2 linked regions of the Xenopus tropicalis genome follow. The protein of the gene in region 2 binds, or shares a complex with, the protein of the main gene of each other region. Links are inferred from orthologs where the notes say so. Each region holds a gene or a part of one and is shown on either strand. Other genes may lie near its edges. The genes, in order: aplf and xrcc1.

Evidence for each region.
Region 1: the proteins of xrcc1 (region 2) and aplf are in contact, whole or in part, in a crystal structure (PDB 5W7X), measured with the Homo sapiens proteins. The link is inferred for Xenopus tropicalis from reciprocal best matches to the Homo sapiens genes XRCC1 and APLF. Residues at the interface, in NP_006288.2 of Homo sapiens: Pro514, Tyr515, Ala516, Gly517, Ser518, Thr519, Asp520; in NP_775816.1 of Homo sapiens: Arg27, Gly28, Pro29, Gly32, Ile33, Thr34, Lys36, Arg37, Val38, Ser39, Arg40, Arg41, His58, Asn60.

What each region holds. Positions count from the first base shown.
Region 1 is NC_030681.2:30,353,626-30,370,004, forward strand, and holds part of aplf (aprataxin and PNK-like factor), read right to left. Parts: intron 7,691-16,379; coding exon 7,524-7,690; intron 3,855-7,523; coding exon 3,677-3,854; intron 1-3,676. UniProt on the Homo sapiens protein: Histone chaperone involved in single-strand and double-strand DNA break repair.
Region 2 is NC_030683.2:118,933,765-118,950,143, reverse strand, and holds the end of xrcc1 (DNA repair protein XRCC1), read right to left. Parts: intron 15,595-16,379; coding exon 15,502-15,594; intron 14,720-15,501; coding exon 14,612-14,719; intron 14,135-14,611; coding exon 13,976-14,134; intron 13,688-13,975; coding exon 13,613-13,687; intron 13,136-13,612; coding exon 13,018-13,135; intron 12,351-13,017; coding exon 12,238-12,350; intron 11,779-12,237; coding exon 11,640-11,778; intron 11,064-11,639; coding exon 10,835-11,063; intron 10,202-10,834; coding exon 10,085-10,201; intron 8,794-10,084; coding exon 8,709-8,793; intron 8,447-8,708; coding exon 8,254-8,446; intron 8,050-8,253; coding exon 7,992-8,049; intron 7,899-7,991; coding exon 7,762-7,898; intron 7,404-7,761; coding exon 7,313-7,403; intron 6,824-7,312; coding exon 6,748-6,823; intron 4,034-6,747; coding exon 3,920-4,033; 3' UTR 2,774-3,919; downstream 1-2,773. UniProt on the Homo sapiens protein: Scaffold protein involved in DNA single-strand break repair by mediating the assembly of DNA break repair protein complexes. Negatively regulates ADP-ribosyltransferase activity of PARP1 during base-excision repair in order to prevent excessive PARP1 activity.

The sequences.
Region 1 (16,379 bases), on a different chromosome or scaffold from region 2:
CAGACAATGCAGGCAGATATATTGTGAGACATTTTTTGACACTTTTTGTTTAGTCTGGAACTTTTTGTTTAGTCTGCTCTTTAGTTGTTTGAGTTTGAGTGGTTTGAATGAAAGACTGGAAGATAAATAGAAGAGGACCTGTATTGTAAGATAAGTAATAATAAAAAGTAAAATTAACAATACAATTGTAGTCTCATGGAGCAATTTTCTTTTGGCTACATTACTTATTTTAGTCGCGATTGGGGAGGGATCTCAGGGGGAGAGTGTCGCTGGTGATTGGGTCTGGGTCCCACCGTTTTTTTTTCTCAGTGCCCTGCCAGCCCAGTCCAGCCCTGTCCATAACATACTAAAAGTTAACTTGAGGTGAACTATTCCTTTAAATGAACTGGAAACGGTGGGATACAGGTGTCAGCATAGGCGGATTTTAATAGAGGCTTAGGGAGGCTAAGCCTCCCCAAACTTAAGTCCTTTGTAAATTTACCTGAACTTGTTTGCAATATAATGCTGTACAAGTTTCTAACTGAAAACGGAATGTGAGGGAGGTTGCAGGTTAAGATTAGACATCAGCGTATCACTAGCAGGGCTGTGTGGGGAAAGGAGGGTTGTGATGTGAAGGGGTGCAAGTATAATAACAATCCAGCCTTAATGTATGCCACCTTTCAGGCTAAGTACAATCTTCCTTTCTGCGCATAGTCTGCTACTCTCCCCTGCCTTCCTTCCCAGTGTAACATTAGCCCGCCCAGCAGAGGGAGTAGCTACACGGAGCTAAAATTACTGAGGGAAAGCAATGCAGAGAGCTAGAGAAGGTGCTGCTTTACCGTATTAGTAAGATAAGCACACGTATATTCCTTTATATATCATTTATTTTTATAGTCTTGTACTATATCGGAACTGTAGGAGTGCTGGCAAAGTTTTACATAGCTGTAATAGATCTAATGTTCAGCTCATAAAAATTAGAAGTACACCCAAGTTAAGTCTGAGGTGGAAACTGATTCTTTTGGGGCTATCTAGATTACTCTTTCTAGGAAATGATAGGGAGTGATAAAGGATTGGGGTGCTAGAAATATGAACTAAAGTTAAGGGAGAAATGTTGAGCTGGAATTGGTTATTGTAGGGGCTTAAGTTTTGGAACTGGAGATATTAAGCTGATAATGGCTGGACTGGCTGGGAGTTGACAGAAAAATGCAAGAGACAATCTGTAGAACTTCAAAATAAATGCTGGGAGTTGATTGTAAGGCAGCTGTTGGTTTAGAATTAATCTCATATTAAGTGTTCTTAGAGAGACAGCGTTATGGAACTGAATAGAGTTAAAAAAAAATTTCAGCTGTAAAGGACCAATGCCACCAAAACATGAATGTTTTTTTTCTGCTCCAAACTGCATTTTTACGTCAGAATTTTAAAGTTGTCAACGTATGTGTGTGACAAAAGCTTAAAAAAAATGTGTTCATGGCTCTTACAGACAAGTGTTTTTCCCTGCGTTTCCCTGTGCTGGATCTTTCATGTGTTTTATGTGCCACCTCCTCTCCCTATATGTCACTCTCATCCAACCACTATGTGTCAGTTACTGCCTTCTTCATTATTTTTATTTATTAACCTCTCTCCTATCCCCATATATCCCTCATGTAATGCCGGTCATAACAGGCTTTTCACCCATATGCCATTACCCATGTGTCACTCACTGCCCAGTGCCATCCTTGTGTTCATGGGGGGACCCATATAATTAACTTGTATGGGGACCCAAAGTTTCTGATGGCAGCCCTGATAAAAGTCTCTTGTGTTCTGGCACTTCCCACTGATTGGCAGCTCTGTTCCTGTTTGCTCATCCTGCTTCTAAACTATCTACCAATATCTGTCTGTCAATATACACATTTAAAAAGCAGAAACATACATGATATAAGTGGCCGGCCAGCCTTCTATGGAAAGTCTCTCATAAAACCCACATAGGGCTTTATTGGGTCCAGCTTGAATAGCCATACAAGCACCTGCTTTCAGGTCAAACACTTTTCAAATAGATGTTGTGCCTATTTTTATGTTATGAATAGTGCAGCACAGTTTCCAGATTAATTCTCTCTACTTAATTAACAGTCCCCCTACTCATACAGGTCTTGGTGCAAGCAGCTGGCTTTAACCCTGAATGTTTCCTTCACACACCATATCTAAGACAACAGACCAAAAAGATCCTCCTACAAGTGGGAGGACTCAGATAGCCTAGTGGTTAGGGAATCGGCCTTCAGTGGGGTGACTCACTGGGACTCGGGTTCAATTCCACCCTAGGTGCACCTTGTGACCTTGGACAAGTCACTTAACCTACATACCCATGTCCCGGCCAGCAAGCTGCGCGGGCAGCTTGAGAGCCGTTTTTACTTTTTTAGTGGCTACATTTACCTTTCCCCACCAATCCTCTAATGATTTATAATAACAGCTATGAAATTACCTGCCTTAATTATGGTTGATTGTCCCTGCCACAGTTAGTGGAACTGAGCTGTCCATGGCAGCTGAAAGTAACTATCACAGGAAAAATCAGTTTCTTTCCACTGGCAATAAGAAGTCAATTGATACACATTCCTAATGCTTGTGATATTAACTATGAGAGTCCACTAGATATCAGACCAATGCCAATGGCAGTAAAAGACTGAAAGCAGTTGCAGATCAGCAATAGCTGGATATTCTGAAGACGGGCGCCGCTGCCATAAGCCTGCAAATTACTATGGGCGGCAAAAAGCTGCTCCTGGTAGCTTTAAGAGCTGAAATTCAGATTTCAAATCGCATTTTCGACTCTGTACTAGCAATGTGGCCCCCTCTTCATACCTCTGCGAGGGAGGCAGCATCTGAAAGGCTGCCTCAGGGCAGCATAGACCCCAGAAACACCCCTGTTTGAAGATGAATAGTTTTATTTATGATTAATCTTTTTAGGAAATGATACGGAGTGATAAAGGATTTGGGGTGCTAGAAATATGAACTCATATTAAGTGTTCTTAGAGAGACAGCGTTATGGAACTGAACACAGTTAAAAAAAAAAATTTCAACTGTAAAGGACCAATGCTACCAAAAAATGAATGCTTTTTTTCTGTTACCCTAACTGCTCCAAACTGCATTTTTACTTCAGTATTTTAAAGTTGTCAACGTATGTGTGTGACAACATTTTTTAAAAATTGTTCTTGGCTCTTACAGTGTTTTTTCCCTGCGTTTCCATGTGCTGGATCTTTCATGTGTCTCAGCACAAGAAGAAATGCAGGCCTATTTACGTATTAGGCTGTACTCTTTGTGGTGCAGGTAAGCCCCTAACAGAGCACATTACACCTGCATTCCACGCTTGCCTGTGCCACAGTGACTACAGTCACAGTAAATAGAAAATACAGGCATGCGTTTCTTTTTGTGTTCCCCTGGGATGAAACACATGCAAGATCCAGCACAGGAAAACGCATGTAAAAAATGCTTTTCTGTATGAGTGGGGTAACTGTCATTGCATATAGATACCCAACATTTTTAGCCTCCCCAAACAAAAAAATCCCCATCCGCCTATGGGTGTCAGTCAGGTACAGGTAAAATTACTTCTTGTACACAATTACACTCTGGACTGTATTTAAAAGAAGTCCATTCAATAACCAGCACATCCTGAATACAAATTTAAATATACAGGTAATATCCTTTATGAAATAAATTCATAGTGACTTACCTGACTGTTTAGCAGGGATTTGGTCTTCTCACCTTGAGCATCTGAAGCAGGATTTGGGTAAGGTTTCTTAGCACCCCAGGCTGAGCAAGAAGGTTCCTCATCTCTTGTTTTAGTAGTATCCAAAGAGCAGCTGGGATTATCAGCTATTTCACTCGTCTTGTTGGTGATATGAACATTTCTGTAAAGTATAAGAATAGGTTTATAGATATATAGATACACACACATCCATGTACTATGTACTATTTTACTATGTGTGCATACCAAGAACAGACAGCAGTACCTGCATGTAGGTAACATAGGCATAGAGGAAAGCGGACAATATATTGAACTGTCAGGTCTTAAAAGGATAAGTAAACACCAAAAATGTAATGGAAAATTGGAAAAAAAGTGGTGCTGTTGTTACAAAATTCATTATATTGGCAGTTAATAAAAACTTAAACAGCTCTAAAACAGAAAAAATAATTAATATAAATTGCAAATGTGCTTAGAAAACCACCCTAAGTAGTTTTACATTGCTTATTTAAGGTTTAATTATCCTTTAATAAATCAAAATTTTACCTTTACCTGCTTATTCATTTAATGTTTCAGAGCCATTTGAAGGCCTTCACAAGAAGGGAAGTTTTTATTACGGTACATTTTTAAAAGATATGTGAGTGCAGTATATTGGCTGTTTTGCCACCTGACAAACACATTCATATTTAGTTGTGCGTGCATGATAACATAAAATTAATATTATAATGTATATTACTATATATTATTATAATAAATAATTAAAATAACGTGTAATTTATGCCAGGATTTATTTCCATGGATAGAAGAAAGATAAAATACAATAAATACAATAAATAAGTATAAATACGGAGAGGTTAAGTGCCATGTGGTATGAGACACAGTAGGAAGGAGGTCCCTGCCCCGTAGAGCTTACAATCTAAATGGTTGGGTAACATACAGGAGACAAATTGTACCAGGTATGTGCATTTGCCCTTAAGCGCAGGACTAGACAAAATAATGTTTTAGTGCTCCAGAAGGTAGCATCTGACTTTTATCTTTAAGAGAGTGAGTATTCCCTACGGAGGGATTCAAGGATAGAGTTACAAGGGCTAGTAGGAGATTGCAGTAATCTAAGTGGGAAAGGATACGGCCATTAGTCCATTAACTCCAGCCACAGGCATAAGGAGAAAATGCACTTTTCCACTTTAATTCCATCAAGTCACATAAGTTATTTAAGCAATCAAAAGGAGCTTTACACAAATGCCTCCTAAATAATCAGAGTTGATTCTTTACTTTCTATGAGTTTTACTCAACATGGATATAGAAGGGTTTGTTTATAAAACAGTGAAAACCACAGAACAGAATTATATTATTTTCTGCTGCCCTTTATAAAGCCTTGTAAAATCTAGAAAAACTGTGCTTCTCCTATTAGCTATTTTTCTTAAATCCTGTTTCCCATTCATCTCTTATCACCAGGGTCACTGCAACAGGGAATGTTCAAACCATAATTATCCTATAAGACTATTAGGTAGTTCAATTTATTAGAAAAAATATTAAAAAAAAAATCATGCATTTCTATGAACACCAATTATTATCCAGCAACTTGCTTACAGCCATCCTTGTGGGGCCTGGAAAAATATAGCTTTAGTAGAAAGACAAATAACAATCAGGCTGCAGGTGAAGGTTGAGACTATAATTCATGACTCATTTGTGAACAGCAAAAGCAAATTTAAAAGACATTGACAGAACCATCACCTGCCATCAGAGTGCTGTCAAGCCAAATTAGCTCTGTCACAACAGCCTTGAAACTCATGACCCAAAAGTAATAGCACGTTAGTTTAGACAACAGTAACGCCAAAGCAGACACATCATCAATCGACAAGCCTGGTGTTCTGGAAAAATAATTTAAGACGAAGTGCACTGAATCACGCACTTTCAACCAAAATTTTCTAAAATGATAAAAGTATACTATCATGGTAGCAAGCTGGAATTATATATTCCCATAAAATCAAGGTAATAAGGGGCTATTTAATTATTGTAAAAAAAACTTTTTTTTAAATGTGATGTTGGTTTTTAACATTAAAGTTATACAGTTAGAAGTCAGTTTGACTTTCACACGTGAAAAAGTTTTTTGATTAACTTTTGTTTTTTGAAATGCAAAAAATTAAGCCCCAACTAAACAAGAATAACAATGGCTAATATCAGCAAAACTGGCTGAACCAACAGTTCACAGGTTTATAGGGTTCTGTATTCATTCAAAATATTAAATAAATATAACTACATTTCAAAATATATCTGAACAGCCCTTAGATCATTAAAGAAAAAGTAAACCTTTTAAAATCCCTAAAAAACTCTAAATGACCCCGAAAGTCTCTCCCTACATTGAGTTTCTAAGATAGAAACTGAAACATGCTGCAGAAATCAGTCACTTTCCTTTTATAGGGTGAATCTCTGTTCCCCTTTAGTATGCTGAGCCTTCCTTCTACTTTGAATAGGTCAAGGAGCTGTCGGAACTTCCCACTAGATCGGACATCGGACTCTAAGTAGGGAGGTGTGTCATTTTAGAGGCTGTTTAGAGTCATTTTAGGCATTCTAAAATAAAAATGTGTACTTATTCCATAAAGGGGTGGTTCACGTTTGAGTTACCTTCTAGTGTATTATAGAATTCCCTATTCCTAGCAACTTTGCAATGTGTTATTACTATTTATTATAGTTTTTGAAATATTTGCCTTCCTCATCTGCCTCTTTCTAGCTTTCAAATGGGTGTAATTGACCCCAGCAGCTAAAAACTATTACCCTGTTGTTAAGCTACAATTTTATTGTTATTGTAACTTTTTTTGTTTATATTTTTATTCAGGCCTTCTTCTACTCATTTTCCGACCTCTCATTCAAACCACTGCCTGGTTTGCTAGGGTAAATCCCTAGTAGCCAGACAGCTACTGAAATACATACACAGACAGACGCCTATTACTTATTACCAGTACAGGTATGGGACCCATTATCCAGAATGCTCGGGACCTGGGGTTTTCCGGATTAGGGGTCTTTCCGTAATTTGGATCGCCAAACTTTAAGTCCAAAATCATTTAAATATTATTAAACCCAATAGGATTGTTTTGCCCCAGTAGGGATTAATGATATTTTAGTTGGGGTCAAGTACAATGTTCTGTTTTATTATTACAAAGAAAAAGGAAATCATTTTTAAAAAGCAAAATTATTTTTTTATAATAGGAGATGGCCTTTCCGTAATTCTGAACTTTCTGGATAACGGCTTTCCAGATAACAGGTCCCATACCTGTACAAGTCACAGTTAAAGCATACTTATTTTTTAAAGGGGTGGTTCACATTTTAATAAACTTTTAGTATGTTATAGAATGCCCTATTTCTAGCAAATCTATGGTTTTTGTTTTCTTGAGGGAAATTGAAGCTACTGCATGTTTGGTCCTTGTGAGGTAGTTTAAATTACCAGAATACTATCCCTAGCTTCCCTCTTTGCTGTGACTGTTTTGTTAGCTAGGGGATTACCTGTGTACTGGTATTCTAATTATTACCACTCAAGGGCCAAACACAGAGTAGCTTTAATTTCCCTGTTTAGCTCAAGAAATAACAAAAAAACAGATTTTTTGTGATTATAACAATAGGCAAAAAGTATGTTCAGCATAAAAACTATTCATTGAACTCAAGGTGAACAAGGGGGTGCATACCCCTTTCTGTACTGTTTACATACCCTACCCCACAACCCCTCCCTTTGCAGCAGATCTTCATTCATATGATCCTTCCTCTGCTAGGAATCTATGTATAAAAAATAGCAACATATATATATATATATTTATATATCACTTGAAATATGTTACTTTACCTTTCAGTACTCTCCTCTGTAGAAGTGTCAGCAATGACTTTGAATGTATATTTATCTGGCAAAAGAGAAAAACAGTCCCCAGAGTGTAACCAATGCCATTTGTCTTTTTCCAAAGGAATAAATGTGTTTCCACCAGGACCTTGATAAAAACAGGGATTCACATGCACCTACAAAAAAAGAAAAATTGCATTTTTGTTATTACAGAAAAGGAGATCAAAGAACAGCAAGTGTTTCAGCAGGGGGGACATCTTTTTTTGCAGTTGAAACCTGTCATTTTTTTGCATTCCACATAACGAAATGAAAAGCACAAAGAATCCATTGAAACTGAAGAAACGTCTCCTAGGGTATAAACTTTTGCTTTACAATTTTAGGCTTTCCAAATACAGTACAGTTATAGTCACTGTTTGACAGCTTTTCCAGACTGATCACAGCAATCTGCATCACTGGAAGGACTACAGCAGCCTAAATCTACAATCATTCACATTAAAGTTACACGTAATAAAAAGAAAAATATAACTATGATATAAAAAAGTTTGAAATATGTTATATGTAATTATGAACAACACATAAATAGGATGGAGGGTAAAAAAAGAATCCCAAAAAACAATTCTATTGTGCTGGTATTGTACACTACTTTTAATCTATATAGGATCTAACCCTGGCCATATACTGAAAGATCAACTTTATCAACCCTATATGCCAACCTTGAAGTGGGCAATATCGGATTGATCCGATCAGATCACATTGACATGATGCAGGCCATCGGAACCAGGACCACATTAATAAGCCTCACTCTTCACCCTGATGAGATTTTTAAACCTGCCCAATCGACATCTGCCCAATTTTCACCAAGATATCGGTCAGACAGACCTGTCTGAGGGCCCCAAACATGGGCTGATAAACTGGCATCTTAAATCGCCCTGTGTATGGCCACCTCAAAATATATCTGTTTAGGACTGTGCTCCAGTGTGTTGGAAGGTACAATGATCAGTGCATTCCATCAGAATTCACAGTTTAAGAAACATTAACCTAGGGAACTGCTTTGCTTTATATTTTTTATCTAGGCCTTAAATACTACCCACAGTTAGCACCTGGGTTTACTTACCAAAAAAGAAAAATCAGAAGGCAACATTTTATCTTACATATATTTTTCCCCAAAATTTCAGCTTAACTGCAGCGATGCATAATTGCAGGGTGCTACAGGAACCCTGGAGCTATCACTTGGTTTGGAGGTGGCAGTAGCTTCAGGGTTTCCATGCATTAATAGGTGCAGCAACACCCATTTCAGAATGGAAAACAGGACAGACTGAGCGCCGCTGAGTGCAACTATAGAGAGAGCACATTTTAATGCAAGTACCTTTTTTTACGCACAGCTGACTGCGGGGAAATTACCTGGACCGCAACTGGACTTGTGGACGTACATGAGCCCTATTGTATTTTACTAGCTTGTTGCTGAAACTGCTATCTCTTAGTTCATTTATAAGCAGAACATTTCACTCCCACGCTACAGGAATGGTAAAGATTACATACTGAAATCATAATGGGTTTGATCACCTGTAAGCTCTCTGTGAAGAGTTCCTTCATGAATGCAATCTCTGAATCTATTGTTCTATCAGCTGGAAGTACTAGGAGTTTTCATCAATCACAATCAACAAGAGCTTGTTTTCCATAACAACAAACTCTGCAGGTCAATTCCTCTATTAGTTGAAAGTTTGAACATCAATCACTTCCTCAATACAGACTCTAAAGTTAAAGGCAATTCATTTTTACACTGCATAGTGGGTTTCTTTTGTGCAATTATTAGGCTGTAAAACTGTAACTATGTAACATTTCCCATAGCTAGAAATAATTAATTTGTTCCCGAGAGAAGCGGCCATTTAATTAGGAACAGCAGGTATTCTACTTTATTACACAATGATCTATTCCAAGAATGTAACATGAAATAAAATTCAAATAACCAAACTTTTTTGGTCTCAATATGTAGATTTGCATGTTAATATAAAAAGCACGGAAAAGATCAAGAAATAAATGGTTTATACCTGCCGATATGTAGAATACAAAATGTACTTTTTTTTTTAATAGGACAATGAACGCGTGAAAACCAACTGCCCCAGGGTCTATGAATGTTGATGCATCTAGAGAAGGTCTACAGTGAAAGTAATTTAAAAAGAAGGAAACAAGTGACCACAAAGCAGATAACTCTGTTTTACACTTGGTGATGCTAATACACAAAGGAAGATGGAAGGCTAATGTCTTTAGGTGAGAAAACATCAATACGGAAAACATCAATGCTGATACTACTTGTGCCTGCAGTCAGTGACCAAAGAACCCCATCTGACATTGTATATATATGGAGTGGATTTCAGCCTGAAAAAGCTTGTGTGCGCATTTTTGGGCCTTAAAGGGCATGTAAATCCGCCCACAAAAAATCAGTTAACAGCCTCTCTGAAATCTTTAAATACCTGCCACTCCTGTTGGTCAAAGGTTAATAGTAAGGCTGCAGCATCCCCTTTATCACTTTGTGATTCCTTCTCCTCCTCTAACCCACTCAGCCCCTCCCTTGGGAATGTGTTTGGCTGTTGGCTACTGATCATGCTCAGTTCTTTATGGCATTACTGGTTTCCATGAAAACTAGCTGTGCACTCTGCTTAATAAATATGTTTTCTCTCCTAACCACCTCTCCTGGTCTCAGCTTAAAGGAGAAGGAAAGGCTAAGCCACTTGGGGGTGCCAAAATGTTAGGCACCCTCCAAGTGACTTAGATCGCCTACCTTTTACCCTGGGCTGGTTCCCCTGTACGGAGAGAACAGCACCAGCCCGGGGTAGCAGCGAGTGCTTCCTACTTCCTGTAGCGCCGCGCGTGCATGCGCAGTAGAGTGAAAAGCCGAACTTAAACAAGAAAGTCGGCTTTTCACTCTACTGCGCATGCGCCGGCCCACGGATTTCACCGGCAGAAGAAAAAGGAAGGAGGAAGCGCTTCCTACAGGTACCCCGGGCTGGGGCTGTTTTCTCATAACAGGGGCACCAGCCCAGGGTACAAGGTAAGCGATTTAAGTCACTTGGGGGTGCCTAACATTTGGCACCCCCAAGTGACTTAGCCTTTCCTTCTCCTTTAACCATTACAGTGCTCAATCCAAGCAAAAATGTATATCTCCATATGTTCTGCCTGTGTAAGCCTGCATTCTTCATTGCATTAACATTACAGCACATTTGTGCTGTTTGTAGATGTAAACATCACTGATGATGTGTCAGAGGGAAAATGGCCACCAGGTAAAAGCTGCTATTTTTTTAGTAACATGTAATGGCGCTGGCAAACTGAAGGGATATATGAAGTACACATCCTTTAATCCACCCCATGTTTTCAGTGAAAGATGGATGCCATTCATGTTATTGACTACAAGCATGGGCAGAATTGCCATTTTCTCTGCCAGTGAAGAAACTGCTTTCAATGGTGGTCGTTACACATATTCTTTGGAAAGCTTTAAATAATCAAGTAAAAATGGCCATAGATGCACATGGGCCGGAAGGACCAAGTTAGCAGCTTATAGGCCCTTGTATGGGGCACCCTGATGGCCCTGCATGAGTGGCAGCAAAATCATGCAGAAATCAGAGGGGCAGGTTTGATTTTCCCATTGGTGTATTGATGCTCTCCTCTTCTGATGGTGTGCAATGATGGCTATTATAATTTTTGGCCCAAGGCTGATCAGCAGACCTTGGCAACAAAGCTATTGATTGGTTTGGCATTTGCTTCCCTGAGACTGGTGAGTGTACACACTTATTAAACCACACTGGTGGAGGAGTTTATTAGAACATTGCACTTTATATTTATTGTGTGTTGCACTCTTTCATTTAAAATGTAATACACCATTTTTGTTTTCATGCGCTTCCGTTACATCCTGTATAAGCACTTTTGAAGCCCAATCAAAAGGGTCTTTATCAAGCAACATTTTCTGTGCTTTATAGAAGACTTCACTGGGAGAGGACCATATATAATGCTAAGTACATTAAAGGAACGCCAAAAAATTATTGTTGCCCTGAGCTGGTACAACTGGTGTGTTTGCTTCAGGAACCCTACTATAGTTTATATAAATACCCTGCTGTGTAGCCAGGGGGCAGCCATTCATGCTGGAGAAAAGGAGAAAGGGCACAGGTTACATAGCAGATAGCACATAATACACCATTGTATTCTACACGTTTTAATCTGTTAGCTGCTATATAACCTGTGCCTTTTCGCCTTTTAAATGGCTGCCCCCATGGCTACACAGCAGGGTATTTATATAAATTCTAGTAGTGTTTCTGAAGCCACCACACAACATTTACCAGTGCAGGGCAGCAGTACATTATAGTTTAATTTCTTTAATATATTTTCATTCATTGGTGTTACTGTTTCTTTAAATGCTGTAACAAATGAGAGTATGGTTAGTAAACCTTTCTAGGGGTTTATGCAGTCTGTCCTGGTCCTGTAGCATCCAATCTGTAACTTTTACTGGTCTATAATAGTTAGATGGTGGATAGGGGTTCCGAACATTACTTCATAACCCCCGGTGGCTTTTCAGAAACCATAGTTATTCAATATGATACCTATTTAATTAAAAAAAACTAATCTGGTTTGCACTTTTTCCTCCTTGTCATTACTGCTAGGTCAGCAAGTTGGCTGAAAATCCATTCAACGGGTCCCATCAGTGAAACAGCTGCACCGGGGAAATCGTTGTTAATAAGAATTAGAAGCCCTATTTTCATTAGAGTATTTTTCACAATGATCCCTTAATCGTAGACAATAAGGATATAGGATCACGCGTGCATGCTTCAATGAAGAGAATATAGCCAGTGCACATTGCCCATCGATTTTTCTAAGCACATATTTGGACTAATAGAGCACAGACTGTGTCCAGATTTATAAAAACATTCTTTCGAGGTTTTTTATTAAATCAAAATTGATTGTGCACTTAGATGCTTTATGGTCTGTTGCGCCGCAAAAATAACTTATCATGGAGGGGAATGACTTAAGTGGATTGTTGCAGTGCCAAAGATATTTAACATGTTAGGGTCACACTTATTACGAGGGTCCTTCCAAGGGTGCATGAATACTGCATTATAAATATTACGGACATGCATTTTACAATCTCTGCTTTGTGCTTAAATCAGCAAGGAAAAAAAGATAAGTAGAAAGCAAGCATATTTATAATTTTCTAAACCAATTTTATATAAAATCTCCAGATTAGTAAATGACGTTCTTTAGTGGGTAACAAATACATTCTATTTGTATAAAGGTTTGAACTCAACAGCATTATGTCAATGAGCAAGTATGTACAAACAATCTAATCCCATTCATACCATAAGAAACAAGGTTAAATACAAGATTGCAATCACTAACACAATCCAACACAGCTCAGTTAACACAATATAGCGTTTCTCGCTCTGAAATCATTCAGACTTGCACGCCTACGGTTAGGGTTTACCAAATATAGTATTGTAGCCATATTAAGCTTGTACGTTAGCTTAAAAAGTAGAAAAATAGACACCGTAAGGCAAGGGAACATTGATTGCACCGGTGCAAGTACTACTGTCAAACCCAATTATATATCCCATATTATGTTTTTCAAGGGGCTGGAAAAACTAAAATCAGGGAAATTAGTTACATTAATAATCATATCAAAATATTTTGCATATGTGGCAAAATAAACATACAACAGAACTCTTGGGACCTGGGGTTTTCTGAATAAGAGATCTTTCTGTACTTTGGATAACCATACCCTAAGGGGGTTATTTATCAAAATTGTATTTGTGCAATCTTTTCTACTTAGAATAAGTTAGAGATTTTAAAAAAAAACCCATAAAAATGTTATTATTACTAAATTATATATTGAAAGTGCTGAATGAATATGGCAAAATCAAATAAAACCACAAAACCTCCAATACCTCGAAATGCTGACAAATAAACCCAATAGGGTTGTTTTGCCACCAATAAGGACTTAGGATACTTATTTAGGATAAAGTATAAGGTACTGTTTTATTATTACAGGAAAAAAAGTAATTCATATTTAAAAATTAGAATTATTTTCTTTAAATTGATTCTATCGGAAATGGCTTTCACATTATTTGTAGCTTTCAGGTTTCCAAATAAGGAATTCCATAACTAATGAAAAAAGAAACTCCTAATTCATTGCAACCAAAGGGGGCAGTCTAAAACTGCAACAGACAGAAGAATAAGGGTGTAGCGAAAATCTTGCACAGAGATGCTCAGCCCCAATAGGGTTGTTCTGCCACCAATAAGGACTTAGGATACTTACTTAGGATAAAGTATAAGGTACTGTTTTTATTATTACAAGAAGAAAAAGTAATTCATATTTAAAAATTAGAATTATTTTCTTTATATTGACTCTATCGGAAATGGCTTTCACATTATTTGCAGCTTTCAGGTTTCCAAATAAGGAATTCCATAACTAATGAAAAAAGAAACTCCTAATTCATTGCAACCAAAGGGGGCAGTCTAAAACTGCAACAGACAAAAGAATAAGGGTGTAGCGTAAATCGTGCACAGAGATGCTCAGCCAGAATATTGCAGGGAAGCCCGAGATTTGGCCTTATGCTTGTGATGTATAAATGCACTTAAATGGCAGATTTATTTGATAATACCATTTGATGCACAGATTTACCATTTGATAATTACACTTCTAAAAATCCCATAGAAATTAATGAAAAAGTGGGTGAATTTTTCCATGGCGAGCTCTGATCTCATGTTTTGATAAATCTGCCCCTAAATCTTGATTGATTTGTATAATGGCTGCACAGACATAAGTATTCTTATGTCTCTAATACTTTTTACAGAATGTTAGACTTTTCCTACAGAGTTGTAAAATGATGAACATTTATGCATTATGTTATTAAAAAAAGGGGATATGAACCCCAAATTAACATTTTCTCTAGTAAAAAAAAATATTTGATGATCTATACAATATTTTAATGAATTTTAAATATGAACTCCTTTTTCCTCTGTAAGGGGGCAACATTGCATCAAAATTCCGCTTGCACTTCATTGTAAATGAGATGCAATTGCACTGACAGTTTCCTAAGTCTGGTTGACATCATTTTGGGTGTCTGCTGAGTGAAGCACGCGTCTGATTCTTTAGGGCTGTGACAGACGGAGAGATTAGTCGCCGCGCGACAAATCTCCCTTGTTGTGGGCAATTAATCTCCCCGAAATGCCATCCCACCGGCTAGAATGTAAATCGCCGATGGGATGGCATATGTGTCGCGGCAAATGGGCGAAGTTGCCTTGAGAGGAAACCTCAGGGATTTTGGAGCCACGTATGCCATCCCACCGGCGATTTACATTCTAGCTGGTGGGATGCCACTTTGGGGAGATTAGTCGCCCGTGACAAGGGAGATTTTGTCGCGTGGAGCCTAAAGGCTGCTACACTGTATACTTGACTTTCATTCTCCTTTAAGCAAAAGGCTCAGTGATCTGTAACTGCACTGTAAGTTTATTAGATTTCTAAAAAAACTGTGTTGTTCGGAAATTAGTATTCATTACTCAAGGTCTGCAGAATGACACTTTGCTAATGAGGTGATTCATATGGTTTCTTGTCCATAAACTGAAATTCTATTAGCATATTTTAGCAGTTTTTTTATTAAATAGCCCCTTGATATATAGTTATGCAAATATGCTAAAAGAAAAGAAATATAATTAGACCTTAATAAAAGGTATGGGAACTATTATTCATATTGTTCGGGACCATGGCTTTTTGGATACGGTTCATCTGTAATATGGAGCAACATGTCTGAAAAATACTAAAAAGCATCTGAACAAGAGAATACCCAATAGGATTGTTATTTCTTTAACATGGATTATTGCTAGCTTAGTTATCATGGGGTACAAAGGTATAGTCTTAATAATACAGGGAAAGCGTAACATAATCGAAAATAAACAGTCATTCATTTAAAAATGACACTATGGGAAACAGAACTACAAAACATCACACTGAGAAAGTTTATTGCCAATAGATTAGTCACAATAGAAAGCTACATTTATTCTGCAGAATGCTTTACAAGTAAACAGCACTAGAAGTTCCCTCTGTTTAAGATAGCTGCTGCCATTTTAGCTTGGTCTGGCTTCACTTCCCTGCTGCCTGTATCTCTTGCTGCTGAGGGGAGGGGGGGAGGAAGAAGAAAAAGGGGGGTGGGGGGGTGGTAGAAGGGAGGGAGAGATAGGAGGAAGCTCATGCCACACACTGACGTTTTTTCCTGAGAAGTGTGACACAGATGCTCATGTGTACAGAATAGAAGGAAAGAAATACAGTGTTTTTTTCACAGAGGACTCAGAGCAGCATTACTGTGGGAGTCTTTATTGGCGTATTTACATAGACCTTTCTGCTAAATCTGCCACTGGTAAATGGCTACTAACTGCTGCCTGAGGCATGGTTCTAACCCTGCCTAAAAGCAGTGGCCCTAATATGCACCACTGGCATCACTTGCTTTACCATATATACTGTATGTGTGGTAGGTAGGCATTCCCTGTCAAGCCCCCTAGTTTGCATGTCATTTAGATGCACAAGATTAGGAAGCATCAGTGAGTGCAAAATGCCCTGTACTTTATACCTGCCATTGGTGAGTGTTAAGTAAAGGACAGCCCTGGGTCCAACAGCACGGCACTCTGCTCCAATGCCAGGTGGAGAGCACAGCCATTGCAATCCTTTTTGCACTCAGTGCTCTTACACCCATAATCACAGTGAATAACCCCCATGCATATTAGAAAATATTTACATTTAAAAAATGCAATCGGTCGAGCGGTTTGCTGAAACAAAGCACGCTGGAAGAATTCTCTGTCCAATCGGCACATTTCCGTTGGGATTGTATC
Region 2 (16,379 bases):
AAACTCGACATCACTAAGGCTGATGCCAGACGAGGCGTTTTTAAGCTGCATATTTTCTAATTCGGCGGCTGAAAAACGCACAATATCATCATCCATAGAAATAAATTAAAGGAGAAGGAAAAGCTAAGTCACTTGGGGGTGCCAAAATGTTAGGCACCCCCAAGTGACTTGAATCGCTTACCTTCTACCCAGGGCTGGTGCCCCTGTATGGAGAGAACAGCACCAGCCCGGGGTAGCAGCGATCGCTTCCTTCTTCGCTGCGCGCGCATGCGCAGTAGAGTGAAAAGCCGAACTTTAACAGAGAAGTCGGCTTTTTCACGCTACTGCGCATGCGCCGGACTCGGTGTCGCAGCGAAACGAAGGCGGAAAGAAGAAGCGCATCGCCCCAGGTGCCCCGGGCTGGTGCGGTTTTCTCCTACCAGGGGCACCAGCCCGGGGTACGAGGTAAGAGATTCAAGTCACTTGGGGGTGCTTAGCATTTTAGCACCCCCAAGTGACTTAGCCTTTCCTTCCCCTTTAAACAGTCTCGATGGAAAACACACTATGCGTAAATACGCTAGAAAACGCCTTACCATGGACTTTTCATGCATTTGCCGAAATACGCAGTTATTTGCACAGCAACCTATTCCTATGTATGCACAAAGGCAGCTGCCAGACCTTGCGGAAATACGCAGCGTTTTTTACTATTAGCACCATGGGAAACGGGATTTGCCACGTCATCAGTACTAGGCTGAAAAACGCCATAGTCAGGGGCTGTGTGGCTTGTGCAGCGTTTTTAGGCGGAGAAAATACGCAGCGTAAAAACGCCACGTCTGGCATCAGCCTTAAGCCCAGCTATTCTCCATTCCTCAGGCAGGTCACAGCCTTATACAGCACTATTTTAAATGTTCTGTGGACTTAAAAATGTCTATAATTTAAGATCCAACAGTAGATGGCGAAATTTATTCTTTCTTGCTTTGTTTGGCTATCAAAGTGGCGCATAAGAAAACGTGGGAACGCGGCTAAAAAAATTTGAGAAAAGTGCACAAAATTGAGAGAAGACACGACTGAAACTTTTATGAACGATTTTGCAAGTTTTGTCACAGTCTATAAAGCATGATTGCTAATAAACTTGATGAACAACTTGAATGCTAAATATAGACTCTGTGGCATCTCAACAGGTTTTTGGGTTTTTTTGACGTCTTGACAAACCTAGAATAGTCTTGGTAGAAAACGTAATCACAATTTTTCCGCGATTGCTGTTCCTGTCCTTAGAAAAATTGATGATTTGTGATTTTTGAGAAGACAAAATTCCAACTTTCTCCCTCCCCCTAAGGTGGGGTCACTGACCCTCTTTCTGTGCGAGTATTTGGGAAGCTCCACAGGTGCACCCCCTTCATTCCCATCTTTATATCTGTATGTAACCGACCCAGCCATTCAGTAGTATCAGAGAGATGCCTAATGGAAGGGCCACGCAAGGTAGCGCTTGTATCTAATATTCCTTCTTCAGTGGCATGTGGGCAGGCACTGCTTCGGTAGTATTTATATTGCCAGCAGATACAAATATATATAAAATGTAAATAGTGATGGACCGAAATGTACTTTTTTGTGTTTTTTTTCCTGGCTTGTGGAGATGCAACTGACTCGGTCATAGATAGAACACTACTGTTCACTGGTCCTTTCTCTTCCTATTTGATATAATTACCCCTTATTGGGGGCAGAACAGCCCTATTGGGTTTATTTCATGGTTAAATGATTCCCTTTTCTCTGTAATAATAAAACAGTACCTGTACTTGATCCCAACTAAGATATAATTACCCCTTATTGGGGGCAGAACAGCCCTATTGGGTTTATTTCATGGTTAAATTATTCCCTTTTCTCTGTAATAATAAAACAGTACCTGTACTTGATCCCAACTAAGATATAATTACCCCTTATTGGGGGCAGAACAGCCCTATTGGGTTTATTTCATGTTTAAATGATTCCCTTTTCTCTGTAATAATAAAACAGTACCTGTACTTGATCCCAACTAAGATATAATTACCCCTTATTGGGGCAGAACAGCCCTATTGGGTTTATTTCATGGTTAAATGATTCCCTTTTCTCTGTAATAATAAAACAGTACCTGTACTTGATCCCAACTAAGATATAATTACCCCTTATTGGGGGCAGAACAGTCCTATTTGGTTTATTCAATATTTAAATGATATTTAGCAGACTTAAATTATGGAGATCCAAATTACGGAAAACCCCAGGATGCAAGCATTCTGGATAACAGGTCCCATACCTGTACAAGAAACCATAAAAGAGAGGTGTAGCTGCAGGAAAAGCCCTAAGGATGCTTATAGTCTATACCAGTGTCCCCAACCAGTGGCTTGCGTGGAACATGTTGCTCATCACCCCCTTTTATGTTGTTCCTACCAGCTTCAAACTAGGTGGTCATTATTTAATTTTTGGCTTGAATTGAAGGTTGGAAGCCGGTTTTACTCCAAGCAGAACCTCCCTGTTGCAGGCAAGCAGGCCACATGGGGCTGCCAAATAGCCAATCACAGCCCTTATTTGGTATCCCCAAGGAAGTTTATTCATGCTTATGAGTAAATAAGGTTGGGGATCACTGGTCTGTACAAAGAGATAGCAAACCTTCCCTGGTACCAATACCACAGTAGCATTCTACAGTGAAGCAGAGAGGATAATGAGTAAAAATGAAGATTACACAATAGCGAATACATAACATTCACAACAATATCTCACACCTTACTCATGCAGCGCTGAGAATTCACACCCACACACAATGCAATTTTCTAGCTCAGATAAATTGTATTTAGGGCTGATCAAAAATAAAACAAAAAGTCAATGTGTAGACAAAGCACAGCCGACGTGTTCACTGAGCTCAGGAGTAGCTGGGAAGGGGGATCATACAATACACGCATTTGTTGGTAAAGACAGAACATATATTTATTTCTGTTTCCCACAAAAGTTTGGTTTTTTAATTTATTTACTTAAAAAAATTCATTTGCGCTGAATCTGAAACCAAACGTCAGGAATCCAAACTACTTAACCGATGTCTTGAGATGGGGCTCGTTAATGGTAATGGCACAGGTTATTGCTTGGCGCCAAAGCTTGTGAAATTGTCCCAAGCTGCTTCCCATTGCAGCGCGGCTATGGCACACCTGCCTGCCATCTTACTTGTGGTATCAGTCCCACGAGTCTGTGTAACGAATGCCGATTCTCGCTGCCCACAATGAGAAGAGATGCGGAATAAATGCCAGCACTTTTTGAAGAGCAAAATGTAACCTTGTGAGACTGGAGGAGATCCCCACTAAACCAACATGGCTACCCCATATCAGAGTACCCAGCTTTACCTCTACAGCCCCAATCAAACAAATGTGAGAAATGATGAGAGTAGCACCAAGTAGTGATAATGGTATGGCATTGGGGGGGGAAATTATCGGGGGAAATAATGCATTTTCCCCCAGCATTTGTTCAGCAAAAAAGAAAAAAAAAAATCTCTTTTTCAAGCTACTTAGTCAACTAAACTTACTACAGACTCCCCCGTTCCATAAAGTAGCAAACTTATTTTGCCAGCATTTATTCTGTCAATGACAATGGGTGGTCTTTTCTGGCTAATTTGTTGCTGAAGCCATTTGCCCTTTTTTCTGTAAAAGCGGCGCTGTACAGAGCAGACAGTAACACATCTGTAAAAACTGTTTGACCAAAGTAAATCCACAAATATCTAAGAAACCGGTCTGTTTACAAAATATACAACACTGTATAGTCTGATATCAGTCTGATATACACACACCAAGCAGGGCCACTGCACATCGCACCAGATCCAGTCCCAGGTGAAGGCCAGGTGTGAGCCCATTATTTGGAAATCCTGAAAATGCCCAGTCTGATGTGGCAGGTTGCCTCTTATGTTGTCTCAGGTTATCATTGGCTCTTACTCCTGCGGTACCACAACATACGGCTGGTGGGGAATGCACTTCTGTCGCTCGTTGCAGTTGTAGATCCAACGAGGCCGGACAAAAGACACGTTTGCATTTTCATTAAGAGCCTGGCAGTGAAAGGGGGCAGTTAATAACAATGACTATGTGAATATGTAAGCCTTAGTGCGGTCAGTGTGGGTCTGTATGTGAGTGGATAGGTCAGTGTGGGTCTGTATGTGAGTGGATAGATAGGTCAGTGTGGGTCTGTATGTGAGTGGATAGATAGGTCAGTATGGGTCTGTATGTGAGTGGATAGATAGGTCAGTATGGGTCTGTATGTGAGTGGATAGATAGGTCAGTATGGGTCTGTATGTGAGTGGATAGATAGGTCAGTGTGGGTCTGTATGTGAGTGGATAGATAGGTCAGTATGGGTCTGTATGTGAGTGTATAGATAGGTCAGTGTGGGTCTGTATGTGAGTGTATAGATAGGTCAGTGTGGGTCTGTATGTGAGTGGATAGATAGGTCAGTATGGGTCTGTATGTGAGTGTATAGATAGGTCAGTGTGGGTCTGTATGTGAGTGTATAGATAGGTCAGTATGGGTCTGTATGTGAGCGGATAGATAGGTCAGTATGGGTCTGTATGTGAGTGGATAGATAGGTCAGTGTGGGTCTGTATGTGAGTGGATAGATAGGTCAGTGTGGGTCTGTATGTGAGTGGATAGATAGGTCAGTGTGGGTCTGTATGTGAGTGGATAGATAGGTCAGTATGGGTCTGTATGTGAGTGGATAGATAGGTCAGTGTGGGTCTGTATGTGAGTGTATAGATAGGTCAGTATGGGTCTGTATGTGAGTGGATAGATAGGTCAGTGTGGGTCTGTATGTGAGTGGATAGGTCAGTGTGGGTCTGTATGTGAGTGGATAGGTCAGTATGGGTCTGTATGTGAGTGGATAGATAGGTCAGTATGGGTCTGTATGTGAGTGGATAGATAGGTCAGTGTGGGTCTGTATGTGAGTGGATAGATAGGTCAGTATGGGTCTGTATGTGTGTGGATAGATAGGTCAGTATGGGTCAGTGTGGGTCTGTATGTGAGTGGATAGATAGGTCAGTGTGGGTCTGTATGTGAGTGGATAGGTCAGTGTGGGTCTGTATGTGAGTGGATAGGTCAGTATGGGTCTGTATGTGAGTGGATAGATAGGTCAGTATGGGTCTGTATGTGAGTGGATAGATAGGTCAGTGTGGGTCTGTATGTGAGTGTATAGATAGGTCAGTATGGGTCTGTATGTGAGTGGATAGATAGGTCAGTATGGGTCTGTATGTGAGTGGATAGGTCAGTGTGGGTCTGTATGTGAGTGGATAGATAGGTCAGTGTGGGTCTGTATGTGAGTGGATAGGTCAGTGTGGGTCTGTATGTGAGTGGATAGATAGGTCAGTGTGGGTTGATAGATAGGTCAGTGTGGGTCTGTATGTGAGTGGATAGATAGGTCAGTGTGGGTCTGTATGTGAGTGGATAGGTCAGTGTGGGTCTGTATGTGAGTGGATAGGTCAGTATGGGTCTGTATGTGAGTGGATAGATAGGTCAGTATGGGTCTGTATGTGAGTGGATAGATAGGTCAGTGTGGGTCTGTATGTGAGTGGATAGATAGGTCAGTATGGGTCTGTATGTGTGTGGATAGATAGGTCAGTATGGGTCAGTGTGGGTCTGTATGTGAGTGGATAGATAGGTCAGTGTGGGTCTGTATGTGAGTGGATAGGTCAGTGTGGGTCTGTATGTGAGTGGATAGGTCAGTATGGGTCTGTATGTGAGTGGATAGATAGGTCAGTATGGGTCTGTATGTGAGTGGATAGATAGGTCAGTGTGGGTCTGTATGTGAGTGGATAGGTCAGTATGGGTCTGTATGTGAGTGGATAGATAGGTCAGTATGGGTCTGTATGTGTGTGGATAGATAGGTCAGTGTGGGTCTGTATGTGAGTGGATAGATAGGTCAGTGTGGGTCTGTATGTGAGTGGATAGATAGGTCAGTGTGGGTCTGTATGTGAGTGGATAGGTCAGTGTGGGTCTGTATGTGAGTGGATAGATAGGTCAGTGTGGGTCTGTATGTGAGTGGATAGGTCAGTGTGGGTCTGTATGTGAGTGGATAGATAGGTCAGTGTGGGTCTGTATGTGAGTGGATAGATAGGTCAGTATGGGTCTGTATGTGAGTGGATAGATAGGTCAGTATGGGTCTGTATGTGAGTGGATAGATAGGTCAGTATGGGTCTGTATGTGAGTGGATAGATAGGTCAGTGTGGGTCTGTATGTGAGTGGATAGATAGGTCAGTGTGGGTCTGTATGTGAGTGGATAGATAGGTCAGTATGGGTCTGTATGTGAGTGGATAGGTCAGTGTGGGTCTGTATGTGAGTGGATAGATAGGTCAGTGTGGGTCTGTATGTGAGTGGATAGATAGGTCAGTGTGGGTCTGTATGTGAGTGGATAGGTCAGTGTGGGTCTGTATGTGAGTGGATAGATAGGTCAGTGTGGGTCTGTATGTGAGTGGATAGATAGGTCAGTATGGGTCTGTATGTGAGTGGATAGATAGGTCAGTATGGGTCTGTATGTGAGTGGATAGATAGGTCAGTATGGGTCTGTATGTGAGTGGATAGATAGGTCAGTGTGGGTCTGTATGTGAGTGGATAGATAGGTCAGTGTGGGTCTGTATGTGAGTGGATAGATAGGTCAGTATGGGTCTGTATGTGAGTGGATTGATAGGTCAGTATAGGTTTGTGTGTGTTGGATTTACTTGATAGACTCTGGTCTATTTTCAACCCTATGTAACTATGTAAATCACATGAAATACTTACATCTTCAAAACGGTCATCCCATTCCTGGGCGGTGATCACAAACTGGACTTTTTCATTCATGTACTCCTCCAGCTCTCTACCGACACCAACAGAGTGAGACAAAGAAAGATGTGTGATTTAATAACAAGATGGGGGTAGATATGTCCCTAGAAGAATTTTGACAAAGGCTTGGGAGTAACGGGGGTGGGAGGGCAATGGAAGGTGTGTGTGTGCAGGGAGTGCATATGGGGGCATGACTGCCATCTTTGAACTGTGCTATTAAAAAGGGTTAATTTGCAGTCATACTCACAGAATAAACATATTGGTAATTAGTATTTAGGTTAATAAGGAACATGTGTATAATCCATTTTAATGACTTCCAAATAGGTTTTTCATTAAGCATTCCCTTTCTACCCATCCCACTCTACCCCTTGTTTGTGCCTCAAAAATGCTCTTAACCAGCTAGCGCTGCTCACATCAGCGAATCACACTCAGCAGAGCCGGCATTCTAGCGGGGGATGAAGCAGCAGATGCAAGCGGCACCTAATTAAATAGCAATAATGGCGCTGCTAAATGCGCAGCTTACCCATTGAAAGCAGTGATGTATCTGTGCAGCATCCGGCGCTCAGCAGCAGGGAACTCGCCATAGAGAAAGAACTTCTTCCCCAGGAACAGATCTGTGTGAGAAATCACTTTCACAGTCACATAAAGCATATCTGGCAGCAGATGGGATCTATAATCTTGTTATGCTTTGTGTGCGGGTAAAGCTGGCATCAAGCTCTGAACAGAGAAGCACACACTGGGGCAGAGCAAATGCCAGGGGAATCTTACAGCACAACCGATATGGCATGAATGGTTGGACTGGGAAACAGAGAAGCAATAGCAGGAAATGAGGGGGGTAAGAAGCCAGATACTAGGAATGGGTGGGAGAAAAGGAATGGAAGACAGATTAAAGGCAGTGGAGGAAAGGAAGATCAAATGGCAAGATAGATTTCAATACAAATGTTGCAGGACTGGGTTCTATTTCTTACATACCGGGCAGTTCGGGGATGGGAAGGTCCGGCTCTGGTTCCTCCTCCACGTCGGTGTTCTCATCAGTAGAGCCGGCGTATGGATCCTCGGGTTCAGCCTTAATGGCAGCTGCCTTCTTGCCTTGTTTCTCTTCATGGAACCTGAGGGATGGGGGGGGGCGGATTTTCTATTTATAATACAGCATGGAACCAAGGGTAGCCCAGGTCAGCTACATGCAAGCAACAAGAACCTACCTCCTTAGCTCTTCTTCTGTATCTTCCCCAGAATCCTCCAGATGGGGTTGCCTCTTACCTTGAAAAACAATGGTCAAGGTTATTCATTTTCAGCCCATCTCTACTCTGCTACTTGCATTTCCTCATCCTGCTCCCCCTTATCCATGCAGGAAATAAAGTAAAGTACAATTCTATTTCTAATTCAGCTTTCCTCTGCGTTTCCTTAGCCTCCCGCATTCTGCCCCCTAAACTTTCCTAACCGTATGCTAATGCCCCCCAATACCTGTGGCTTCCTCATCAGTGCTTGCGTTGTATTCATCCTCCTGTTTAGGTGTGTTGTTTGCTTTTGAGGAAACTATTCTGGGATTTTCATCCTCTGTTTCTTCGTCTTCACTTTTTATTGGAGTTTTCTTGACTTTGACCTTGGATGGACTCGGCGAAGGCCTTTTGTGGTTTGTGCGGCTGGGATCTGGAGTCTACAAATACAAAATAAAAATATTCTAACTGCTCTTCAGCAGTAAAGCTAGCTGCTGAGTGTTCTACCCCATATCAGAAAACAATGTCTATGACCCTAGAGGGCCCCTTCTGAGAGGAAACGCCATCCAAGGCCTCGTCTCTGATCTCACCGAAAGTATTGGCAAGTAGATACAGTGTCAGAGTCCTCAAAAGAAATCCTACAGAGTTACCCCGAGCAACAGGGTCTTCTCCACCCCCTAATTTACAATACTATGTAATTACCGGCTTATGTGGAGCTTTGGGGCGTTCATCTTCCTCACTATCATCCTCTTCATCACTACTGGAATCAGCTGAACCCAACAGGTACCTAAACAAACAGACAGAACTTAAAAGAGTCGCTTTCTGGTACACGCAAGAACAATCTGCATCAAATGACCAAATGACTGCATTAAGTGCATGTAATAAAATATAACACACAGTACAATCCCACAACAGTCCCTTGCTGCAGCCTACAGAGCTACAGGATAAACCTTGTTTATATATATTATATATATATATATATATATATACATATACATACAGTGGCTTGCAAAAGTATTCGGCCCCCTTGAACTTCTCCACAAAGTTGGCCTTTATGGAAGAGTGGCAAGAAGAAAGCCATTGTTAACAGAAAACCATAAGAAGTCCCGTTTGCAGTTTGCCACAAGCCATGTGGGGGACACAGCAAGCATGTGGAAAAAGGTGCTCTGGTCAGATGAGACCAAAATGGAACTTTTTGGCCAAAATGCAAAATGCTATGTGTGGCGGAAAACTAACACTGCACATCACTCTGAACACACCATCCCCACTGTCACATATGGGGGGGCAGCATCATGCTCTAGGGGGGCTTCTCTTCAGCAGGGACAGGGAAGCTGCTCAGAGTTGATGGGAAGATGGATGGAGCCAAATACAGGGCAATCTTGGAAGAAAACCTCTTGGAGTCTGCAAAAGACTTGAGACTGGGGCGGAGGTTCACCTTCCAGCAGGACAACGACCCTAAACATAAAGCCAGGGCAACAATGGAATGGTTTAAAACAAAACATATCCATGTGTTAGAATGGCCCAGTCAAAGTCCAGATCTAAATCCAATCGAGAATCTGTGGCAAGATCTGAAAACTGCTGTTCCCAAACGCTGTCCATCTAATCTGACTGAGCTGGAGCTGTTTTGCAAAGAAGAATGGGCAAGGATTTCAGTCTGTAGATGTGCAAAGCTGGTAGAGACATACCCTAAAAGCCTGGCAACTGTAATTGCAGCAAAAGGTGGTTCTACAAAGTATTGACTCAGGGGGCTGAATAATTACGCACACCCCACTTTGCAGTTATTTATTTGTAAAAAATGTTTGGAATCATGTATGATTTTCGTTCCACTTCTCACGTGTACACCACTTTGTATTGGTCTTTCACGTGGAATTCCAATAAAATTGATTCATGTTTGTGGCTGTAATGTGACAAAATGTGGAAAAGTTCAAGGGGGCTGAATACTTTTGCAAGCCACTGTATATATTTATTAGAGGTAAAGTCCTTTTTTATGCTGGCTATAGCATTGTAAGTAAGTTATCTTTTTCCAGACAGTTTTTTCCCAGGCAAACAATAGTTTCAAACCAACTCTATGCACTTACTGCTTGTACGGCAGCCGTTGCTTTTTCTTGTAGCAGTCCAGGATCCACTCCTTTCGCACGATGATACCCCCCGCTGATTTCACCTGGCTGAATTTAGGGGTATTTGCAAAAGCACATCTGGAAACAGAAAAACTCAAGTGAGTAAAATTACTGTCTGGCGCATTAAAAAACTCTAACCCCAATATGTAATAAAAGGCATTAAGTTTGCCCAGGTGCAGTAATCCATAGCAACCAATAAGATGCTTGCTTTTAAACAGGTGACCAGTAAATGCTACCTGCTGATTGGTTACTGCACCTGGGCATATTTAATTCCTTTTATTACATCACCCCTTATATGTAGTGCCAAATCTAACCAGCTAAACGACAACGTCCCATGATTAGGGGAATATACTTTTCTAAAGTTAACTTTTAGTATGTTATAGAATGGTCAATTCTAAGCTCACTCCCTGGTTGCTAAGGTAACTTGGACCTGAGCAACCAAATAGCTGCTGAAACTCCACACGGGAGAGCTCCTGAAGTGACATTGAAATAACTAAAAATCTTCAAATAATAAAAAATGAAGACCAATTGCAAATTGTCTCAGCATATTACTCTCTACATCATGTTATAAGATAACTTAAAGGCGAACAACCGCTTTAAGTACATTTTGCCCTTTCCTAAGTATGACATGCACCATTCCCAAGAAAATGGCACGTTCTACTTCAAGCTCTTTTTTCCCTCTTATTCAAGGGAGATACTCCCTGTACGTACATGAGATGAGTACTGTCTGGGGTCCAATCTGGCCTGTACTTGGCTCCCATCTCTAATGCTTTATCACGGAGGTCAGATCGGAAGGGATTCTGAAAGCCACTTAGCACAAACACTGTGCCCTGCAGAATGCGACCCAGTTCCATTTGCTGAGGAGCCGGTGAGGACTTTTTCTGGGCAGGCTTCTCCGATGGAGAAGGCTTCTTTGTAGGAGGGACAGTCTGTGTTTCAACTGCAGGAAAGAACACAATATATTACATAGTTAGCTCAGCATATAGATCACTTCACAAAAGCAGGTGAAAATCCCTCCATGGGCCCTAAAGACATACTATATATCAGTGTTCCCCAACCAGTGGCTCGTGAGTAACATGTTGCTCCCCAACCCCTTGGATGTTGCTCTCAGTGGCCTCAAAGCATGTGATTATTTTTGAATTCCTGGTAAGGAGGCAGGTTTTGGTTGCATAAAAACCAAGTATAATGACAAACAGAGCCTTCTGTAGGCTGTCAGTCCACATAGGGGCTATTAAGCTGCCAATTATAGCTCTTATTTGCACTCCCAGGAACCTTTTTCATGTGTTGCTCCCCAACACTTTTTTCAATTAAATGTGGCTCACGGGTATAAAAGGTTGGGGATCCCTGCTATATATTAACCCTGCCACAGATATGCTATGTAATATTATGACACTACAACATACCCAGACGTGGAATTAAATCTCAAGGCTCACAGAAATCACGTGACAGGTACGCTGCTACTGTGTCCCAGCCTCAAGGTGTCATCCAAGTGAAGGAAAAAAAAAATTTTTTTTACCTTTTGGCTTTTTGGGTGCTGGCTGTGATGTGCTCTCTTTGGCGGAAGATGGGGACTTATTGACTTCGTGTTTCTTGACTGCCGAGTGGCTTGAGGGTTCTTTACTGAACTCAAACTTCCGTTTACCAGATGACGGTTCCTAGAGAGAACAGCAACTGCTCAGAACAAACTAGAACTTCACTGGCATTGGTCTTTGGATGTTAAAGGGGACCAATTCTTTGTATTTGTTTAATGAAAACATTGAGACAAATATATTTCCCCTCTTACTTTTGTCCATAAGCTCCTATGCTGCCGTTACCAACTCATCTTTCCAACTTGACCCTCAGTAAAAATACATTATTTCTTGCTGTCTGACCACAACCTTCCTTTTTAAGCTCTAGAAGACTTTCTGTAGTCTCAATCCCCCTATACGTAGCCAGCAAGGGTTATGGGTTAGTGCCCAAAGGGACATGGTGTAACATCTCTGGGACACAGCTGACAATAAAGCTGCCACATTTGGAACATCTGTAGCGCATACATGGGTATGATAGGTATACCCTATGCTGATAGAGGAGACAGAGGCGGTCGGTGTATCCATGCCCACACCCAACTTACTCACCTTTGGGATGTTATTACTTGGTGGGGTTTTAACAGTCTGTTTTTCAGTGCTGGAGCTGGCCTCTCCTGTGCCCTGTAATGTCGCAGACGCATAGCTTTGTGTGGCTGGTGGAGCTGTAAAAGAACACAATAGCTAAGTGGCAGTATAAAGGGAATAGTGTTGGAGGGAGAATTTAAAAACTCTTAGTATGTTATAGAATGGTCAATTCTAAGCAACTTTTCAATTGCCCTTCATTATTTATGTGTTTTGAATAACTTGCCACCTTCTCTATGGAGTTTTGAAAAGGGGGTCACTGATCCGGCAGCCAGAAATCAATTGCTCTGTTAGGCTACAGTATTATTGTTATTGTTACTTTATTTTCTATTCAGTCCCTTTCCTATTCATATATCAGTTTCTCATTCAAACCACGCCCTGGTTGCTAAGGTAACTCTGACCCTAACAACCAAATAACTACTGAAACTCCAGGCTGGAGAGCTCCTGAACTGAAAATAATAAAAAATGAAGACCAATTGCAAAATATCTCAGAATATCACTCTCTACATCATAGTAAAAGTTAACTCAAAAGGTAAACAACCCCTTTATAGCTGTTTTGCCATATGGTTGCAGTACAAGCCATGAAGTAAAGTAACCCTATGACTCAAGAGTTACTGTACCTGCAATGTACCTAATAGCGTAGGTAATGCAATGCACACAGTTTCTGTACAAGTTTCAGGGGCACTCACACATTTCAGAAAATAACTAATAGAGGGAATTACAAGGGATATGTGCAGAATAGCTTACTTTTCGGAGGAGTAACCTGCGGCTTGCTGGTGCGGCTGAAAAACAGACTCCCGGGACGCATAGAAGGAGATGAGTTCTCTTCTTCCTTTACCATAAACTGCCCAAGTTTGGTCACTTTCTGCAGAAGAGCATAGTAATGATTTATAATCCATGGCAGCATAAACACAAGGTGAACTTTCCTAAACCGGCACTGTTCAAAATTAGGTCAGCCTGTCATGTAAGCTGATGAGACAGAGCTGAATGTGCAGGGAACCAGCAGAAAAGAAGATATGGGGGGGGCTACTGGGGCATCTTTGGGGGCACAGATCTTCCCTGCTAAAGGGCTGTGGTTGCCTTGGGCCAACCACAAGTTCTGGGATAAGTGCTGATTTGCAGTCTTAGATATCACTGGAACTACAACCTATGAATGATATAAAGTTTTACATGTTAGTAACCTTTGCTATTAGGTAAGTGATTAAATGAAGACGGGATTAAAAAGGGCATGAGCAAAGAAATATTTATGGTCCCCTATATCACAGATAATGAATTGTTCCTTATGTAGAACCCCTTGTATTTGCTTATGTATCAGTCAAGCAAGCACAGGTAGAATGCATACCGGTGAGGGAGCGGTGGGCGAGCCATCCTCTGGAGGGGAGTTCAGACGTATGAATGAAATACCATAAGCAAGGTTCTAATGAGACAAGAGAACATGAAATGGTTTATAGAAAAACGTGCATCCAGCTATATACTAAAGGCTTGCCAACAAACTCCACAGAAATTACCACACTTCAGCAAAGGAAAAGTGTACTTCTCATGCCTGATCCGCACCCAACCTGAACCCACAACGGTCGCCCAAATTTCAACTCTAACTTACCTGACCTCGACCCACACATCACAACAAATACTAATTGTATCTACATTCTGTTTGTTAATTATATATCCCACAAAGCTCTCCGCTCTGTAAGCAGACACTGCACACCTTAGTGTAGGGTTGGGTGCACACAATCTTCACCCGATCCCATTTCTTTTCAGCTGCTCCTTTCACGAGCTTGTCTGGTCCGAACATTCGCAGCCGATTCAGGTTGCTTTCATTCTTGCTCTCGCTAGGAGACATGAACGATGACATTCCCAGGAGGACCTATGCAGAGACAAGCAAGATGGGAATTGGCACATCAGGTCTGTATTCCTCACAACTGTACTAACTTGCTATCTGCATTTACATTCTGTGAGCTCTGGAGAGTAAAATGCTATAGCAAACTATCCCTAAGCAGGAACACACAGAGTTTTCGTCACTTTCTTCACTGACTCTATATCATTAATCACAAAGCGCTGAGGACACGGTATTGTATTTACCACACTATCCCTAAGTATGAGATTGGCCCTGGGTAGTTGATGGTGTCCAGAGTTCTCCTTAACCAGCAGCACCCCCATCCTCAAGGAGCACGACCAACTTAAATGCCATTTCCGTTTGCTAAATGTTTAGGGAGCTTTACAGACATAGGATGCTCTCGCTATAGCCTGTGCTTTTTCTGCCTCCATATTAATGGTAATCTTTTTTACTTTAATAAACAATCATCCCAACCACTGCATATGGCACTATAGGTACCTGCCATACCTCATATTCCTGCTCGCTGATTGAAGTGGAGTGTCCGACCAGCACTTCCACAAACGCAGAACCTTCATTGCCAATATCAATGCTGTGGACCTGCTCCTCCTTTTCAAACTGCAGAAAATCAAAGGCACCAGAGTAAGCTGAGGTCAGTACCCATGCACGTATAGGCACACACGGCATGAAATTAGAGCAGTAATTATTTTTTATTTCATTTATTGCTGTTATTTATATAGTGCAGCTACATTTCCGCAGCGCTTTTACAGAGATTATTCATCAGTCCCTGCCCCAGATCTTACAATCTAGGGTCCCTATCACATTCACACACACTATGGTCAGTTTAATCAGAAGCCAATTAACGTGCCTGTATGTTTTTAAAGTGTGGGAGGAAACCGACGTACCCAGATGAAACCCATGCAGTGAGAACATACAAATGCGTTGCAGAGAGAGCCCTGGTCGGGATTGAACTGAAGACCCCAGAACTGCAAGGCAGAAGTGCTACCCACAGAGCCACCATGTAATTAGCAAGTTATCTCTCAAAGGAACACACTTAGCAACTTTCCAAGGGTCTGCGCTGGGCAGCCACTAGGCAAAACCACTGGTTAGAAACAAACCCACCATAATCCCATACACATGCATTTCACCTAGCAAATCAGAAAGGTGTGTCTCTGCTGGTAGAAGCTATTGCACTGCGCCAACCTTTCAATTACCTTCACTTGACAGTCTTGAAAGAAATTAACTAGTTAATTAAAGGGCCAGTATAATGTCCTTATTCTCATTTTCAGTGAAATACAGGAAGCAAGCCATACCCTTAGGGAAGCATAGGATAAGCATGGCTACTGCTCAGTTGCTAATTCACAAAGCTTTCTCTCACTCACTCACTCTACATTCCATACCTGCAAAATGACGGAGATCTGCTTCTCCCCAGGGCGGGCGGCTTTCCATTTGCGGTATGTGTCGGCTTTCAGCAGGTTCTCTGCTGTGTGTGTCTGAGGAGCACAAAAGTTTGTCGACAGTTAAAGGTGAGGGTGTCTCTAACTGCCAAACCATTCCCATTGTGTATTTGTCAAACAGAATTCTGGGAGCGTTTACACTGGCTGTTCAAACAATGAGCTGTGTGTGTGTTATTTACCTGCTAACTAAACAGCATCAGAATGCTTGGCACTCATCCCTCATTGCTCCTACAAGGGTTGTGTGAAAGCACCAACACAGAAACCTCCTCACAATCCGCATAGAGGGAGCAATTTAGGGATATCGATGTAAGAACGACACCTGCACCATGTGCATTGCCTTAAAGGACAAGTAAACCCCATAGCCTTTTTGAAATATTTAAATACCTGTCACTCTGGTTGTTCAAAGGTTAATAGTAAGGCTGCAGCATCCCCTTAATCACATAGTATTCCTTCTCCTCCTGTAACCCACTTGCCTCCCCCTCCCTTAGGAACAGACTGTTGGCTCCTGGGCATGCTCAGTTCTTCTCAGGTTAGGTTACCAACCCACCCTCCAGTCTAGCAACCAATAAAGAGATGGCATTGCTGGTTCAGAAACTCAGCTCTAGCTGTCTGATCCTATTTTTTTCTCCCAACCTCCTCTTCTGAGCTCAGTTTAAGGATTACAATCCAAGCAGGACTTTTTATCAAAGTTCTGCCTGTGTAAGCCTGCATTCTTCATTGCATGAACTTTCCAGTGCACGTGCTGATGTGTGAAAGGGAAAATGGGCACCAGGTAAAAGCTTCTCATTGTTTCAGAAAAATGTGATGGGGCTTGCGATAAA